2 linked regions of the Arabidopsis thaliana genome follow. The protein of the gene in region 1 interacts with the protein of each later gene in a biochemical or structural test. Each region holds a gene or a part of one and is shown in the gene's direction. Other genes may lie near its edges.

Region 1 (8,043 bases):
TTTGCTGAGGCGGAAGAATCCTTCAAGCAACGGTGTGGGGAGGAGGAAGATAGTTGAAACCTTTTAAGCTTCTCTCTTTTTACACTTTATTTTTTTTTTTTTTGTTGGGGAGAAAAACCAAAAAGTTAGATTTGTAAACGAAAGCAAAAAAAAATTCTTCTTTTTGGGTTTTGATGGAGACGCTCGTTCCATCGGCTCTAACTATTTGCCTTTAAACTTTGGTTTTGTTAAATTTTCCTTGTTTTTGTTTTTATGGTCTCATACCCTCACCGAGTTTTTAATGAATCTATAGCTACATTGAAGATATGTCATTTTATTTTTTAACTAAAACTTTAGTTTCAAAATTTGTATGATTCTTGTAATTGTTTTTGGGTTTCAAATATCCGACTCATGAATCCATGAGAAGTAGTATAACAATGTTTGCACTATACATAATATGGGCGTATTAACAAAGGTCATACTCTAATACACGATAAAGATGCGCTTTTGCAACGTTACCACAGACAACTTTATAATGGGAATTAAGCTTTTATGACATTACAAACGACGGACCAATAATAATATTGTTATTTATAATTTGAGGCATCAATCTATAGGAAGGTCGTGACCGGTGATGACGCAGCAAAGGTGAAAGAGAGGCTTCAAAGTGGAATCAGACACCCAATTTTTACAGAACAAAAGCCTAACCTATTGTCATGTTTAAGTTCTTTCTTTCGATTAAATTACCTTTTTTTTGGGATCAAATTAATATTTTGGGTTAAAGACAGCATCAGATCAAATCTAGCTTTTTTCAGCAACAGTTTCCACCTTGAGATCTGACCATTTCTTTATCAACTTGCTAAAGTCGATCTCTGTATGGACGATCCATAACTTATTTTCTATTAAGGCTGCTTGTTTTTGGGAATTCTCATTTAAAGAAAATGCTTATCTTTTCTTTTTTCTTGTCAAGTTATATATTTTATCTTAAGTATCTATACCCCCAAAGATGTTTACTTATTTTTCATCATGAAAATGTTAAAACATTTTAAGCATTTGCGTTAGTTTCCTATTACATCATTATATTCCTCAGTTAATCTTACAATTTTTTTTGTGAATGTAATTAATCTTACAATTTAAAATGTCTGAACAAATGTATTTGTTCTAGACTTCTAGTTCAACAAGTATTTATTTCTTGTTAAGAATGACTTTTTAAACGATCAATCTTTTTTTATTTTTGGTAACATAAAAACGATCAATCTTATTGAAACTTTCCTACACATGGATCAAGTTGTATTAGTCTGATACAATTATTGTAACAAAATAAAGTATATATATATAGCGAAGAATTTAGCTGAGTTTGAGTAGCCGATGCAAAAATGCTGCATATGTCTTTATTCCTTTAATCACCTAAAATACAAGAATTTACTTTCTCTTATCTCATGCATGAGACATCTTATCCAAGTTGTTATAAATCTCTAACTTTGTATCTGTAAAGATTTTTGTAGTAAAAAGCCTTGAGAGATGAGAAACGTGGAATTGAGTTGGAAAGAATGACTCAAAACCTTTACAATATTCACCCAAAAAAAAAGAGAACTTTATGATCGTAAAGAAAAGAAAGGAAAAGAAAAGAGACGACTATTTTCCATTGCATTGATGGGCTCTTTCAAGCCTCAACATACGGATCATTCCGACTTAATCCGGTCCATAAAATTTGCATTTGCATGTTTAAACGATATTGACTTTATGACTTTATCAACCAATGTAGGCCACCACTAGAGTACCGTACCTAGAGATGTTAATGATGGGTTAAAATCCACTGGTACCCAAAACACACATAAAATTTTAAGCTCATAGATCTATTTTTTCTGGAAATAAAACACAGGTTTAAAATGGGCTGGGTATCCAAATAAATAAAACACATATGGGTTTACCTCATTGGGTTATGGGTACCCACGATTTTTTTTAAAATCATTTTTCAAGTGAATCAACATTTTTTTGTCAAAAAAGATTTCACATTTTTTTCTCCTAAACCGCGATTTAACAGTTTACCACCAAAAAAAAAATCAACATTTTCCCGCCAAAAAAGACATTCAAAATTTTCCCGCCAAAAACGACAATCAACATTTTCCCGCCAAAACGCAATTCAACATTTTCGTGCCAAAAACGACATTCAACATTTTCCGCCAAAACGCAATTCATCATTTTCCCGCCAAAAACGCGATTCAACATTTTTCCGCCAAAAATGATTTCACATTTTCCCGCCAAAAACGCAATTTAACATTTTCCCGCCAAAAACGACATTCAACATTTTCCGCCAAAAAGATTTCACATTTTTCGGTCAAAAACACAATTTAACATTTTCCCGCCAAAAATGATATTCAACATTTTTCCGCCAAAAACGCAATTTAACATTTTTCCGCCAAAAACGACATTCAACATTTCCGGCCAAGAAAAGGATTTGACATTTTTCCCGCCAAAAACGCAATTTAACATTTTTCCGTCAAAAAACGCAATTTAACATTTTCCCGCCAAAAACGCAATTTAACATTTTTCCCATCAAATATATATGTAATACAAAAAATAAATATAATTTAAAATATATTTATAAGCAAAATATAGATACAACATACATATAATAGTATATTAACAATTAAACATAAATTATAAGAAAATAATAAAAATCAAGTTGGGTACCCACAGGTAGTCTCGGAACAATCAGGTTTTTTCGGGCTTTACCCACTAAATCAAAAATCCATCTGGGTTTTTTAAAGTTGGGTTTTTGGTGGACGGATTTATTTTGGATTCAGGTCGGGCTGGGCTTTTTTACCCACAACAACATCTCTAACCGTACCAATTCATTTTCTATGTAGAATTACATAACTATAGTTTTTCCTTACAAAAAGGATGAAAAAATTCTGGTAAATGATACATTTTGCATCCTTCGTGTTCTTATAAATATACTAAACACATCATTATTCACACAACTATAAGAAGAAAAAAATAGGTACGAAACATTGTTAATAATCCCAAATGATTGATTGAAGTTACCACATTTATTCTTTGAATTACTTGTTAGGTTGATTAGTACACAAAAGTAACACGAACCTACTAAACAACTTGTTAGATCTCATAAACGGCCCATTACCGATTAAGCTAAAGCCCGTTTTGGAATTTCACTAAACGACGTCGTCCTGTATCCCTCATCTTTTCTTCTTTAACTTGTCAGTTATTTTCTCAGTTTCTTTTATTTCAATTTTCAAAGGTGTTAATTTCGTCCCCATCTCCGTTTCTGATACTTTAATTAATACTCATTGAAAAAATCAATTCGAACTAAAAAAAATCTCGAAAGTCTTTGCGCGTAATTTTCTTCTTTATTTTGTTCTCACTGATTATTTTGCATTAGCTCTTTTCTTTTTTGGGGTCGAAAAAATTAGGTTTTTTTTTGGGATTCTGTTGATGGCGACGACGACGACGACGCAGGGGCAGCAAACGGCGATTGACTCGGCGGTTCTCGATGATATAATCAGGCGACTCACGGAGGTCCGGTTAGCTAGACCAGGAAAGCAAGTCCAGCTCTCTGAAGCTGAGATCAAACAGCTCTGTACTACAGCTAGAGATATTTTCCTTCAGCAACCCAATTTACTTGAGCTTGAGGCTCCCATCAAAATCTGTGGTATCTTCCCAATTTGATTCGTTGATTTTAATAATTTCGTCGGAATTGATTTTAGGGTTCTTATTGTGTTTCTTAGATTTTCCAAAAGTGTGAACTTGGTTAGGTTTTGGGGATAAAGTTGTTAGACCATTGTGAGACCTTTTTGTTTGATGTTGTGAAGTGACTAGAATCTGAGTGAGAAATGTTTTGGCTTTTTGTGGATAATGATTGAGTGGAGAGGCTTATCTTGTTGCTTATGATACTGTGTGTGTTCATGAAAAATCCTATCCCGTTCTGTGATTTCCTTATGGTTTGTGGTGTACATGTCTTAAACCAGGTGACATACATGGGCAATATAGTGATTTGTTGAGGCTATTTGAGTATGGTGGCTTCCCTCCTAGTGCCAATTATCTATTTCTTGGGGACTATGTGGACAGAGGCAAACAGAGTCTTGAAACAATATGTCTCTTACTAGCTTACAAGATCAAATACCCTGGCAACTTTTTTCTACTAAGGGGAAACCACGAATGTGCTTCTATCAATAGGATATATGGATTTTATGATGAGTGTAAAAGGAGGTTCAATGTGAGAGTATGGAAGGTTTTTACTGATTGTTTTAACTGCCTTCCTGTTGCGGCGCTTATAGATGACAAAATATTGTGTATGCACGGTGGACTTTCGCCGGATCTTGACCATTTGGATGAGATTAGAAACTTGCCGAGACCAACTATGATTCCGGATACCGGGCTTCTCTGTGATTTGCTCTGGTCTGATCCTGGGAAAGATGTTAAAGGATGGGGAATGAATGATAGAGGTGTTTCATACACCTTTGGTCCAGATAAAGTTTCCGAGTTTCTTACGAAACATGATTTAGATCTTGTGTGTCGTGCCCATCAGGTAGATATTTTTCAATCATGTCTCTTTGATACTACTGCTTTTGTGATGTTAACAAGGGAGTTGGATTTTTTATGGCAGGTCGTGGAGGATGGGTATGAGTTCTTTGCTGATAGACAACTTGTGACGGTGTTTTCAGCTCCTAACTACTGTGGTGAATTTGATAATGCTGGTGCGATGATGAGCGTGGACGAGAACCTTATGTGCTCGTTTCAGATTTTGAAGCCCGCTGAGAAGAAGACCAAGTTCATGATGTCCACAAAGATTTGATACTTTCATTGAGGTTAGTCAATAGTCTGTCCTTGGCGGAAACCAAAACGAAACTAGTGAATGAAAGGATTCTCTTGCACTGATTTGTTCATGTTATTCATTACAAAGTCAAGTTCACATTTCTGTTGAACATGATTTCTTTTGGATTCTTCCAGGCTAAACTTTTTACTTAAATGGGTCTTGATTTCGGCTTTTCCTTCTTTCACAGATGGATTTGGTCTTTCTTGAGAAATTGATTGAAACCATTGAAGATTTGGCTGTGAAGTGTGTACTTATGGTAGTGAGAACTCTTGGAAAGGAGCAAGACCTTCTTAGTCTTCTAATCTCTTTCTTCCCCCAAATTCACTTTCAGCATTTTTTTTCTATCTTCTTTTATGGGTTTTACATGATTTTCATCTGCCTGTTGGGATCACATAGTTGGTGTGTACATGCATATGGTCGTTTCTTGGATTTTAGGACACCAAATGAAAATGATGTTATAAAAAAGGTTTAGTATGATGAGTTTCGTCTCTTAAGCGGCATGTGAAAGTGAATGAGACATAAGTAACGCATATGAACATCTTCAATTAACCATCATAAATATCGAATGAGCATCTAAATTGGACAACAAGTTTCACACATGTTCATCATGTTTAAGTAAAAGAAGAATTTGAGAAGCTATTGAAAGTAAAGTCCACTGGTTTTGGTATGATCGTGAGTGAAGTGATATATGATCCGTTTGGTGGACTCGGGAAATAGAATAGAATATAATAATTGGAGGGACTGAAATTTTATGTTGTTCTTTGTTGTGGATGAGAAGTAAACACGGAAGCGATAAGTTCGTAAAAGTAACTTTTTTTTTGGGTTGCAAACGGGAACCAAAACCACATGTATCCAATTCTTTAGACACATATCATGTCATTATCCTATCTTTGAATATGTTCATATTCTTAGTCCATTTCCTCACCAGAAGATGTTGGACAAAACGTATCCTTTGATCATAGTATCCTCAAACATTTCCTACATAGTATTGTGACCATGTCATATTCTTCTAGACTTCCTAGTTCCTACATAGATTATGACCATTTCATACTATTCTCAAAACTCAAACAAACAAAAAAATCAATTTTGAAATATAATTATTTCTAATTTTCATATTTTTGTAAATTGAATACACAAGCGTTCGTCGTATACGACCATTGTTTTCAGCGTGTAAGTTTAGCAAAAAAAAAATCTTAAAACTTGTGGTTCATTTGGAAAAGTAAGAAAATATACACGAACGTAATAAACACAAACAAACAATTGAAACATGAATGTACAGGTTTAGTGTTATTATCTGACCACATTGTGCGCGAGTGTGGACCATGTGGACGTTATAAGTTTCATCAAACCAAGCATACATATATATGTGCGTCAACGTAGACCCTCAAGTTTTCTTGATTTTCACTCGAATCAATACCGTATACTCATGTTTTATCGTAACATAGAAAAAAAAAAAATCATGGACTTTCTCAAGAATCACCAAAAAAAGCATGCAGCTTCATAATCGAAGAATAAGATTCTTTAAATTGATTGATGAGCGTCTGCACTATGAAATGTTTCGATTTCAATCTTCTCCTCCAATTTTCTTCTTCATTAGTCCTTTTTCGCTCCCAATATCCTTCATGAAATTTCTCTATAAATAGAGACATAAAGCATTAACATGCAATGCAACAAAACTTAAGAATATTAGAGTCAAATAAATTTTAAAAGAAAGTTGACAGTAAAAAAAAGCCTTAAAGAAAAAGAATTAGAATTAGACCTTATAAAAAAAAAAAAAAAAGAATTAGAAAGATTGTTCTGGTGAGTGAGTGAGGGATGGCTATAGCTTTTCATACCTTTCTTCTTCAACTGCTACTCTTCTTCTTTGCTTCTTTTGCGGAAGCAAACGACTCGCGAAAGGTGAGAAAAAATGGACCTTTCTTCTTTAACTAATAGCGTAACGTTTTTTTGGAGATACATATAACGACGAATGTTTGAATTTTAACATATAACTTCTTGCTTTCTATGGTACAGACATACCTTGTGCAGATGAAAGTTGGTGGACATCGATATGGGTCAAGTTCCGGTCACCAGGAACTACTAGGCGAAGTTCTTGACGACGATAGGTTTGATTTTAATTATGCCTTATTCTTTAAGTCATATAGGTTTTGATGAGATATATTGGTTCAAATTTCCCAAGAAGCCAATCCTCTATGTTAACACATGCAGCACCTTAGCGGATGCATTTATCTACAGCTATAAGGAGAGCTTCACCGGTTTCTCGGCAAGTCTCACACCAAGAGAACGGCAAAAGCTGATGAGTAAGACCACAACTGTTTCGTCACGTTTGCATTTCCTTTTTTTTATACAATTGATCAGTACAATACTATAACACGCAATGACGTAAAAGCCAAAAAATGTAGAATTATAGCCTACTGCTATATAGATTGATATCAATGCATAGTAGGGACGTGGTAATAACACACGGGTTATGTTAATGTTGATATAGGGAGAAGAGAAGTATTGGAAGTTTCACGTAGCAGAAACCTAAAGCTTCAAACGACAAGATCATGGGACTTCATGAATCTAACATTAAAAGCTGAGCGAAATCCCGAGAATGAGAGTGATTTGGTTGTGGCTGTCATCGATTCCGGCATTTGGCCCTACTCTGAGCTCTTCGGTAGCGATAGCCCTCCCCCTCCTGGTTGGGAAAACAAATGCGAAAACATAACTTGCAACAAGTACTATAATAAACCTTTACTTATGATAAAACAAAAATATGTATGATTTTCTCTTTTCAAGATGACATGGTTAGGAATCTTGAAAGTTGGAATTAAGTATGAGAATTAATCTTGCTATCATAAACTACAATTGCAGCAAGATCGTTGGGGCTAGATCATACTACCCGAAAAAAGAAAAGTACAAGTGGGTTGAAGAGAAATCGGTGATTGACGTGACGGGACACGGCACACACGTAGCCTCCATTGTTGCTGGCAGGAAAGTAGAGAAGGCGGGGTACTTTGGGTTAGCGGAAGGCACGATGAGAGGCGGTGTTCCCAACGCGAAGATCGCCGTTTATAAAACATGTTGGAGAGTAATAAGAAAAAATGGTAGAGAGGATTCAGTTTGTCGAGAAGATAATATCTTGAAGGCAATAGATGATGCGATCGCGGACAAGGTCGACATCATCTCGTATTCTCAGGGGTTTCAATTTACGCCACTGCAAAAAGATAAAGTCTCTTGGGCGT
Region 2 (8,053 bases), 7.1 Mb from region 1:
TATTTAAGTTCATATTCATATATAGTATGTCTATCAAAATTTTCAACTGTTAATTATTTTAGATGTATATTATAATCGTTTCTGTTGAAAAAAGTTATTTTATATGTTTCGTTGTAATGTGTTATCTGGACTGATTATACGAGCAAGGGCTGGCAAAAGCTGTCATATTTTCATGTTAATTAAATTAATAAATTAGTAGATCATTATAGTTATATTTATGGTTTTTATTTTGTTGCAATATTCTAGTGACAGATTACTTGGTGGCCATTATTGTTACAAACTTACAACGAAACAGTCAAGCAAACGCGCATTGTTCATATTCTACAGCTATATCATTATTACGGTGTGAAATGCTTCATTTCAATAAGAACCTACCTAACAATTATTTATATTCCTTGAATAATAAATTGTTAGACTCTTGCTTTGACCTTAATATGCATTGTATCAGTATCTTCTTCATAAGAAAATTATAAGTTGAAAACTTTTTTCCTGCCAGCTTTGACCAAATGAATATATTAAAAAGTTACCAATAAAGAAATTTTAATTAATTTGATTAGTAGTACAAGTTTGGACGAGGCCTTGGCAGGCCTCTCTTTCTAGCTTTTCGTGGATGTGGCCTAACCTCGTAACTTTTCGTATTTTATCAAGCCCAAAGTAGCTTTCCGTTATCACTTATATGAAAAAATCTAAGATCTAAGGGGAGTTATTGATTAGTATTTTAATTTATAATCTATATACATTAAAGAAAATAGAACATCTTGAAACCTCTAAATAAATACACCGTGCTTAAAAAACTTCACGAGATATTCAATTGATTTTTTTTTGTTTAGAATATTAAATAATCAATACTCCATTAGATGTCATTTACCCAAAAAAAAAAAAAAAAAACTCCATTAGATGTTATTATTGTAGATTGTACCAATAAACTCTGATATATAAGTCCAACAAAACTCCATTAGCAGTAGTGTTGGTAAGCTCCCCATATTCTTGGGCTTTAGTTTCAGAAGATTTCATGTTATCCGTCGGCTTAGTTTATGGAATTATCTTGTTAATCGCCACTTTTATATAATTTCATATATAATCTATCTTTTAGTGCAAAAAAAGTAAAAAAAATAATTTCAACGAAACTCAAGTTTGGAACCGCAATCCAATTATTTTAATCAAATCATTGACTACCGAAATATTTTTCCACCTTCAAACAATCTAAAAAGAAAAATAATTTTTTTGATCAATTCACCAACGTTATTTAGTTTATAAAACATGATAAAAGATCCTCCAAAAATATAAAACCTAGACTTTCCTTAAATTTTAAGAAGTGTACTTTTGTTCACTCAATTTATTATTTCTCTGCCAAATTCTCTATATTCTTCACACGTAATTACTATCTAGTTCTCGTCCATTTCCTTTATCATTTTCTCATTGTCTTGTAAATTGACCACTCTAATGATCTCTATTATTTCCTCTAGAATAGAGTATGATTTATCTCCAATCTATCACTCTATATATAGAGTAATCCTACAATTTTCTCTATTTTAAAGTAACATATAGAATGAGGATGGAGAGAATGTACTATATCATAGAGTTTTAGAGGACAAAATTAAAGTGGGATTGGAGATGCTAAGTATGTAAATTTGGTTCGGTTAGCTATCATAAGGGACCGAGTGCTATATGACAATGTATTATAGGTAAAAGAAGTGATATTGTCTCCTGTAGATTTAGTGTCCTTAACCGTTCATCAAATCTATGTGAATCTCAGTAGTAGGTAGTTGGGTGAAGAACGTGTGAAGTCTATACAACTCATATTACTCCTCAAACATTTTCTGATAATATATTGCATACATTGAACCTCTTTTTAAATTCAAAACATCAAAGGTATTGATCTTACATAGAAAAAAACATAGACTCTTATGTTCATGTCCCTATTGATCTTAGTCATACCTCATAATTGTCTAACAAAGAAAATCAAAGGTATCATAATTATCATCATATGTAATGTAGGGAACAAATCTGTATTTACTGGTATATATATATAACACAAAAAAAATTACCAAAGAAAAAAAAAGAGCAAAGGGAACGATACCATTAGTCCCAATACCAATCCTTGCAAAATTCAAACTCAAACAAACCGTTTATCTCACGCGCCGCCGTACTCGCCACGATCCGTCTTTGGAGACCAATTTATGGAGCCGCCGAAGGGAGATACCGTAGTGAAGACTGAGGTCCCGGTGAAGGATCCATCGCTAAGCGTCGTCGATTCGAAAACGAAGGGAGTCGAGGATGCGAACACTGAGATAGCCTTGTCCGATGAGGTTGAAATCGAGACGAAGGGAAGCGATTCGACACCGGTGAAAGCTCCGAGTCGAACATCGTCTGGATCGAAGAAATCTGTACATTGGAGCCCCGAATTGGTGTCTGGATCTCAGGAACCGGATCAGAAAGCTGCATCGTCTTCTTCGGCTGGATCTAATCCGTATATTGCTCGTTCTCCAGCTGAGACTTCAGATGCTTCGTTGAAAGGTAAGAGTGTTGTGATCGTAGCGGTGAGAATTGAGATTGTGTATTGTAGCCTTATTTACCTTTTTGTGGATCTCTCTCTGTGTCTGTGAATTGGATTCAGATACGATGGAGACTGTGAAAGGAGTGCTTGGTAGATGGGGAAAGAGGGTTGCAGAAGCAGCAAAGAAGACGGAGAGCCTTGCCGGGAACACATGGCAACACCGTAAGTTTTCGTTTTTTTTTAATATCAATTTGTAATCAAATTCAATGCTTAGAGTTCTGTGGAATCAAGAATTGTTCATAGGGTATTGTTAAAAGTAGCTTGTTCTACTCAAAGTCTACATTTTTTTAGAGAAACATAAAAGATTTTTTTTGCTGTATTATGGTTTTCTTCCTTTGTTGTATGTTGGTGTTTAGGTTAGTACTGGTTTTAGGATTGAGTAACTATCATCATATTCGATAGTGCTCAAGTGTATTTTTATGATCTTCAATTCTTTGATCTCTTTTCAACATGTTGTTGCTATAAAATGGGACGTTCTTACTGGCTTGTGTTGATAAATTTTCTTAATTACAAACAGAACACTCCCCTGAATTTCAGTCTTTAGGCAGTACATTAAAAGACAATGACCTTTGATCTTGTTGAGTTCTTGCTAAGAATAGTAAACGGACTATTTTAGTTATGGAATCATATTGTGTTGGAAGAAATATCTCGGTTTTTCTCAGGTTTATCTTCATAAATAGTTTAGAATCACAATTGTTCTACGTGGATCTCTTGCCTTCGATTTGTCTCCAGAACCAAGATTAATACCACATCTGCTCGGTATTAGAGGATGATCTTTTGATATTGTCAAGTTTGTGATCACAGTAATTAAAAAATCTCTGTCTTGGATTTGAACAAGAAGATTCTCCCAGTTTCAGTCTGTCAAACTTTGTAGCTTGACCCATGACAAGTGTTTATAAGAGAGTCGGAATAACCTTAAAGCTGTTTTTTCTCTGTGTGATGTTTGCAGTCAAGTTTTTAGTAGATTGTCTGGTAACAAATAAAATATCAGATTGAAATTAGGTGCTCTGGATTAGGTATTAGTTGCCATGTTACTTCTTTGGAACTTGGAATTTTAATGCCTTTGGTGAACATTAATCAAAAACGCCATTTGACGAATTAAGAGCTGGATATTAGTTTGACCTTCGGACATGGTCATTCGTGATGTAGTCTAAGTAGTAGGGAATTAGCTCCTAGTTTTGAGATCAAAAAGCCTTTTTGCGGACTGAAGAATTACCACTCTAATCAAGTGATGTTCTTGGTGGTTTGGTGAATGTTTGAGCAATGGAGGTGGAGGGAAAATGTCTGATGACTAGCTAAAACTATAGAAATTGGGGAATTAAGAAAGTTTACACGATTAAATTTATGTTTAGAGTGTTCATGTGTGAACTCTATAACTCATGTCTTCCTTGATTGGGTGTGTTTTAGTTGTCCGCTTCTCTAGCATATTCTATTCAGGATTCGTTTGAGTGATCTCTCTTACAATCTTCTACTTTAGTCAGTGAGAACTGCTCCAGTTTTTTTGTATTTCATATCATGTTTGAATCGATCTTCTATGTTTAGCATTGTTGGAATGGATGTTTGCGCTCAAATATAGTAGATCTTTTGTTAAAGAAGTGAAATATTGAATAGATGCTCCGGAACAGATAGAGTTGCTATATTGCTTTTAGGAACTTGGATTAGATAATACATTTGGATGAACATTAAAAAAAAAAGAAGAAACAGCCTTTGGTGAGTTAGGAGCTAGAACTGTGGATATGAGTTTCAGCTTGGGACATGGTCGTGTTATGGATAGAGATGAGTTCCTGGGTAAGTGTTTGAGTAATGGAGTTTGAGGGAAAATGTCTAATGCCTGCATTTACATAGTATGGACGTAAAGTTTGAATTTGGGTGACTGAGAAAAATAACATGATTCAATATACGTTTCAATTGTTTGTGTGTGAACTCGCAATTCATCTCTTCCTTGATTGGATGTGCTTTACTTGTTTGATTCGCTAGCATTTTCATTCAAGATCTATCTGATTGATATATCTTATAATCTTCTCTTTTTAATCAGTGAGAACTGCTCCGAGTTTTGCGGATGCTGCAATGGGAAGAATTGCACAGAGTACAAAGGTCTTTGCAGAAGGAGGATATGAGAAGATATTCCGACAAACCTTTGAGACAGATCCCGAAGAACAGTTGCTAAATTCTTTTGCATGTTACTTGTCAACATCAGCTGGCCCAGTTATGGGAGTTCTATATATATCCAGTGCCAAACTTGCTTACTGTAGTGACAACCCTCTCTCCTATAAAAACGGTGATCAAACCGAATGGAGCTATTACAAGGTAATGTGTCCTACACCTTTCATTTCAGAATTATAGCCATTTTGAAGACACCATATTATTACTTTTGTGATCATTAACTGTTCGAAATCTGTTGGCTGGTTATCTGGTCAATGCTTGAGACAATGTTTCGTTATAATTTGTTAGTAGCATCAACTAAGGAGCCTTCGTAGAGTGATTCATTTGGATAGAAAAATAATCTGGACTTGTTAACGGAATCATAAATCCATGGACTTTTTTTTTGTGATAGTAATAACATGATTGCATCAGCTTCTCATCTCTTGTTTCATCGAAACCAATCCGATACGATTGCATTTGCTTATTCATTGTAATAAGCTTTGCTACATTGATGATTGATGAACACTTTGTGTCTTCTTCTTAAATAGGTAGTAATTCCATTACATCAACTTAAAGCAGTGAATCCATCAGCGAGCATAGTCAATCCTGCAGAGAAGTACATACAGGTGATTTCGGTAGACAATCATGAGTTTTGGTTCATGGGTTTTTTAAACTACGACGGCGCTGTCACGTCTCTGCAAGATTCTTTGCAAGCCGGTGCTTTAAGGTCGGTGTGATACATAACTGGATGACTGATGACCATAAAAGCATGTTGATCTCCACCTCTTCTTGCTTAGTCATATCAGAAGACTCAAATTTTTACATTATTTTGCATTTAATCTCAATATCCTATTTACTACAGAAACTAGCTGAATTTTACAAATTTACTTTAAAATGTTTTATCTTTTGATATTTTTATGAGAAGACAGCTTAATTGCAATTTATTCAATAGCAGTTGCTTTTAGTTTCTATGTTGAAGAACTCTGAGGTAGTAGGATCAACAAATGTGAATTCAACACGTCCCAGGGACAACGGACTATTAGAACCGATTCAAATTGCTTCCACCAGTGACAACTGAAAAATATACCGAACCAGTAGATCTAAGAAACGAAATTTACTCGCACCCATGTACGAAATTGCCGCACAACTTTTGATATTTACTAATTTGCCCCAATAAAGTTCAAAATACACAACTCCTTTGACTTCTGCAAAGCATCAGCTCGAAAAGTATTTTTTTTTTTGTGTTAAAGGGTTTATCAGCTCGAAAAGTATTTCATTATCTTTTCATCGAATCAGATTCAACTTACGAATTATAAGAGCATCTGATTAGGATTTATTCCAAAGATCACTAACTAAATTCGAAATTTATTCACAGAAGTTCTAGTCACTAATTTTGTTGAAGACGATTTTTACATATTTAGAGGCGTGATAAATATTACAGACAAAAAATGAAGTTAGATTTTGTTTCGTACTTCTTCGTTAATCTAAAGAGCCAAAGTACTGTGATCTAACACTGTCGTTGTGTTTTTTTTGTTTTGTAAATTTGGCAAAAACTCCCTCCAAAAAAAAACTTAGTTGACTGAGAAAACTAAGCAAAAAGATCTCCGATCGGAATCTTCTTATTCGCCATGGATGCTCTTTCTCAGGCGATCAGTTCCGGGATCTCCGTTCCTTACAAGAACAATTCTTCTTCTCTCGTTCCTTCTCACGGACTCACCTCCTTAATCCTCCGGAAATCGAGATCTCCGGTGAATCCCTCATCACGATCTCGCGTCTCGGTGCGAGCTTCGGAGATTCAACACAGCAAAACCTCAGCTTCATCGATCGATCTCAGCGATCCAGATTGGAAATTAAAGTATGAGAAAGATTTCGAGCAACGATTCAGCATACCTCACATCACTGATGTCTTACCTGATGCTGAAGCCATTCGTTCAACGTTTTGTCTTAAGATGAGGTCAGATCACTACTTTAGCTTGAGGTACCAGATTCTGGGTTTTGGAAAATCTATTAAATTGGAGTTTTGATAATTTAGGTCTCCGACGGAAGATTTTGTTGGTGGTTACCCTTCTGATGAAGAATGGCATGGATACATTAATAACAATGATAGAGTTCTTCTCAAGGTTTAACTTCAGATTTTTATTTTTATTTTACTGAACTTTGTAAGATTGATTTGGCTTGTTTTGGAAATTAGGTTATTAGTTACTCCTCACCTACTTCTGCTGGAGCTGAGTGCCTTGATCATGACTGTTCTTGGGTTGAACAATGGTAAACATTTGGACTTTCTTTGAGTTTGGATTTGTGGTTCTTTTTTGGTTTTTGGTTATAATTGGTGTGATGGGATCTTTAGGATTCACCGTGCTGGTCCGAGGGAGAAGATATACTTCAGGCCGGAAGAAGTGAAAGCTGCGATTATCACTTGTGGTGGCCTTTGCCCTGGTCTCAATGATGTCATCAGACATGTGAGTTTGTATCTGAAACTTTGGCATTATAGAAACAGTGTGTGTGTGTGTGTGAAGTCCTACTAAAGACCTTTGATTGTTGTGTTGTATGGATACATTGCAGATTGTCATTACTCTTGAGATTTATGGTGTTAAGAACATTGTGGGGATTCCTTTCGGTTATCGAGGCTTCTCTGATAAAGATCTAACTGAAATGCCGGTATTGTTCGATTGTGCTCTTTCGAGAAAAAGGAACCCGAATCTCTGTTTCTGTTTTGGCTTATGGTTTGCTTTTTTGTGCTTTCAGTTATCAAGGAAAGTGGTTCAGAATATTCATTTATCTGGAGGAAGTTTGCTTGGAGTTTCACGTGGAGGCCCGAGTGTGAGTGAAATTGTCGACAGCATGGAGGTATCATTTAGTTTTTTTCAGTCCTTAAGGAACTTTATGAGATCACAGATTCTGAATTCTGAAAATTGAATTTACTTAGGAGAGAGGAATCAACATGCTTTTCGTGCTCGGTGGAAACGGAACTCATGCTGGCGCCAACGCTATACACAATGAGGTTCGTTACTTAACACTTGAAACTAACTAAGTGTAGTTCGTGTGAAGATATTTTTTCTTTTTCTTTTTCTTTAGTTTGTCTAGTTTGATTTACCATTCACATTCTTGCTTTCAATTCTAGTGCCGCAAAAGAAAGATAAAGGTAGCTGTAGTTGGTGTGCCAAAAACCATCGACAATGATATTTTACATATGGATAAAACTTTTGGGTTTGATACTGCTGTTGAAGAAGCTCAACGAGCAATTAACTCTGCTTACATTGAGGTAACTTTCATGTACTCTCATTTAGGATATTCACTAACATGTCTCTTTGCTTTAAGTACTTAACCATTGCTATTTGGGCCTTCTGTATTAGG

Evidence for each region. The genes of interacting proteins can lie anywhere in the genome.
Region 2: the proteins of TOPP4 (region 1) and GEM form a complex in vitro, tested with the Arabidopsis thaliana proteins (one study listed by BioGRID).

What each region holds. Positions count from the first base shown.
Region 1 is NC_003071.7:16,623,995-16,632,037, forward strand, and holds TOPP4 (type one serine/threonine protein phosphatase 4), read left to right. Parts: upstream 1-3,221; 5' UTR 3,222-3,435; coding exon 3,436-3,652; intron 3,653-3,968; coding exon 3,969-4,528; intron 4,529-4,606; coding exon 4,607-4,795; 3' UTR 4,796-4,808; intron 4,809-5,003; 3' UTR 5,004-5,418; downstream 5,419-8,043. Other genes in the region: AT2G39850 (Subtilisin-like serine endopeptidase family protein), read left to right, coding at 6,632-6,715, 6,830-6,921, 7,025-7,116, 7,305-7,536, 7,673-8,043. UniProt on the Arabidopsis thaliana protein: Serine/threonine-protein phosphatase that possesses phosphatase activity toward para-nitrophenyl phosphate (pNPP) in vitro. Acts as a positive regulator in the gibberellin (GA) signaling pathway to regulate plant growth and development.
Region 2 is NC_003071.7:9,539,343-9,547,395, forward strand, and holds GEM (GRAM domain family protein), read left to right. Parts: upstream 1-1,785; 5' UTR 1,786-2,180; coding exon 2,181-2,517; intron 2,518-2,617; coding exon 2,618-2,719; intron 2,720-4,592; coding exon 4,593-4,864; coding exon of another isoform or gene 4,865-4,900; exon of another isoform or gene 4,901-5,247; coding exon 5,248-5,436; 3' UTR 5,437-5,696; downstream 5,697-8,053. Other genes in the region: PFK5 (phosphofructokinase 5), read left to right, coding at 6,328-6,653, 6,732-6,819, 6,891-6,964, 7,047-7,158, 7,262-7,357, 7,445-7,546, 7,626-7,700, 7,821-7,961 and 1 more.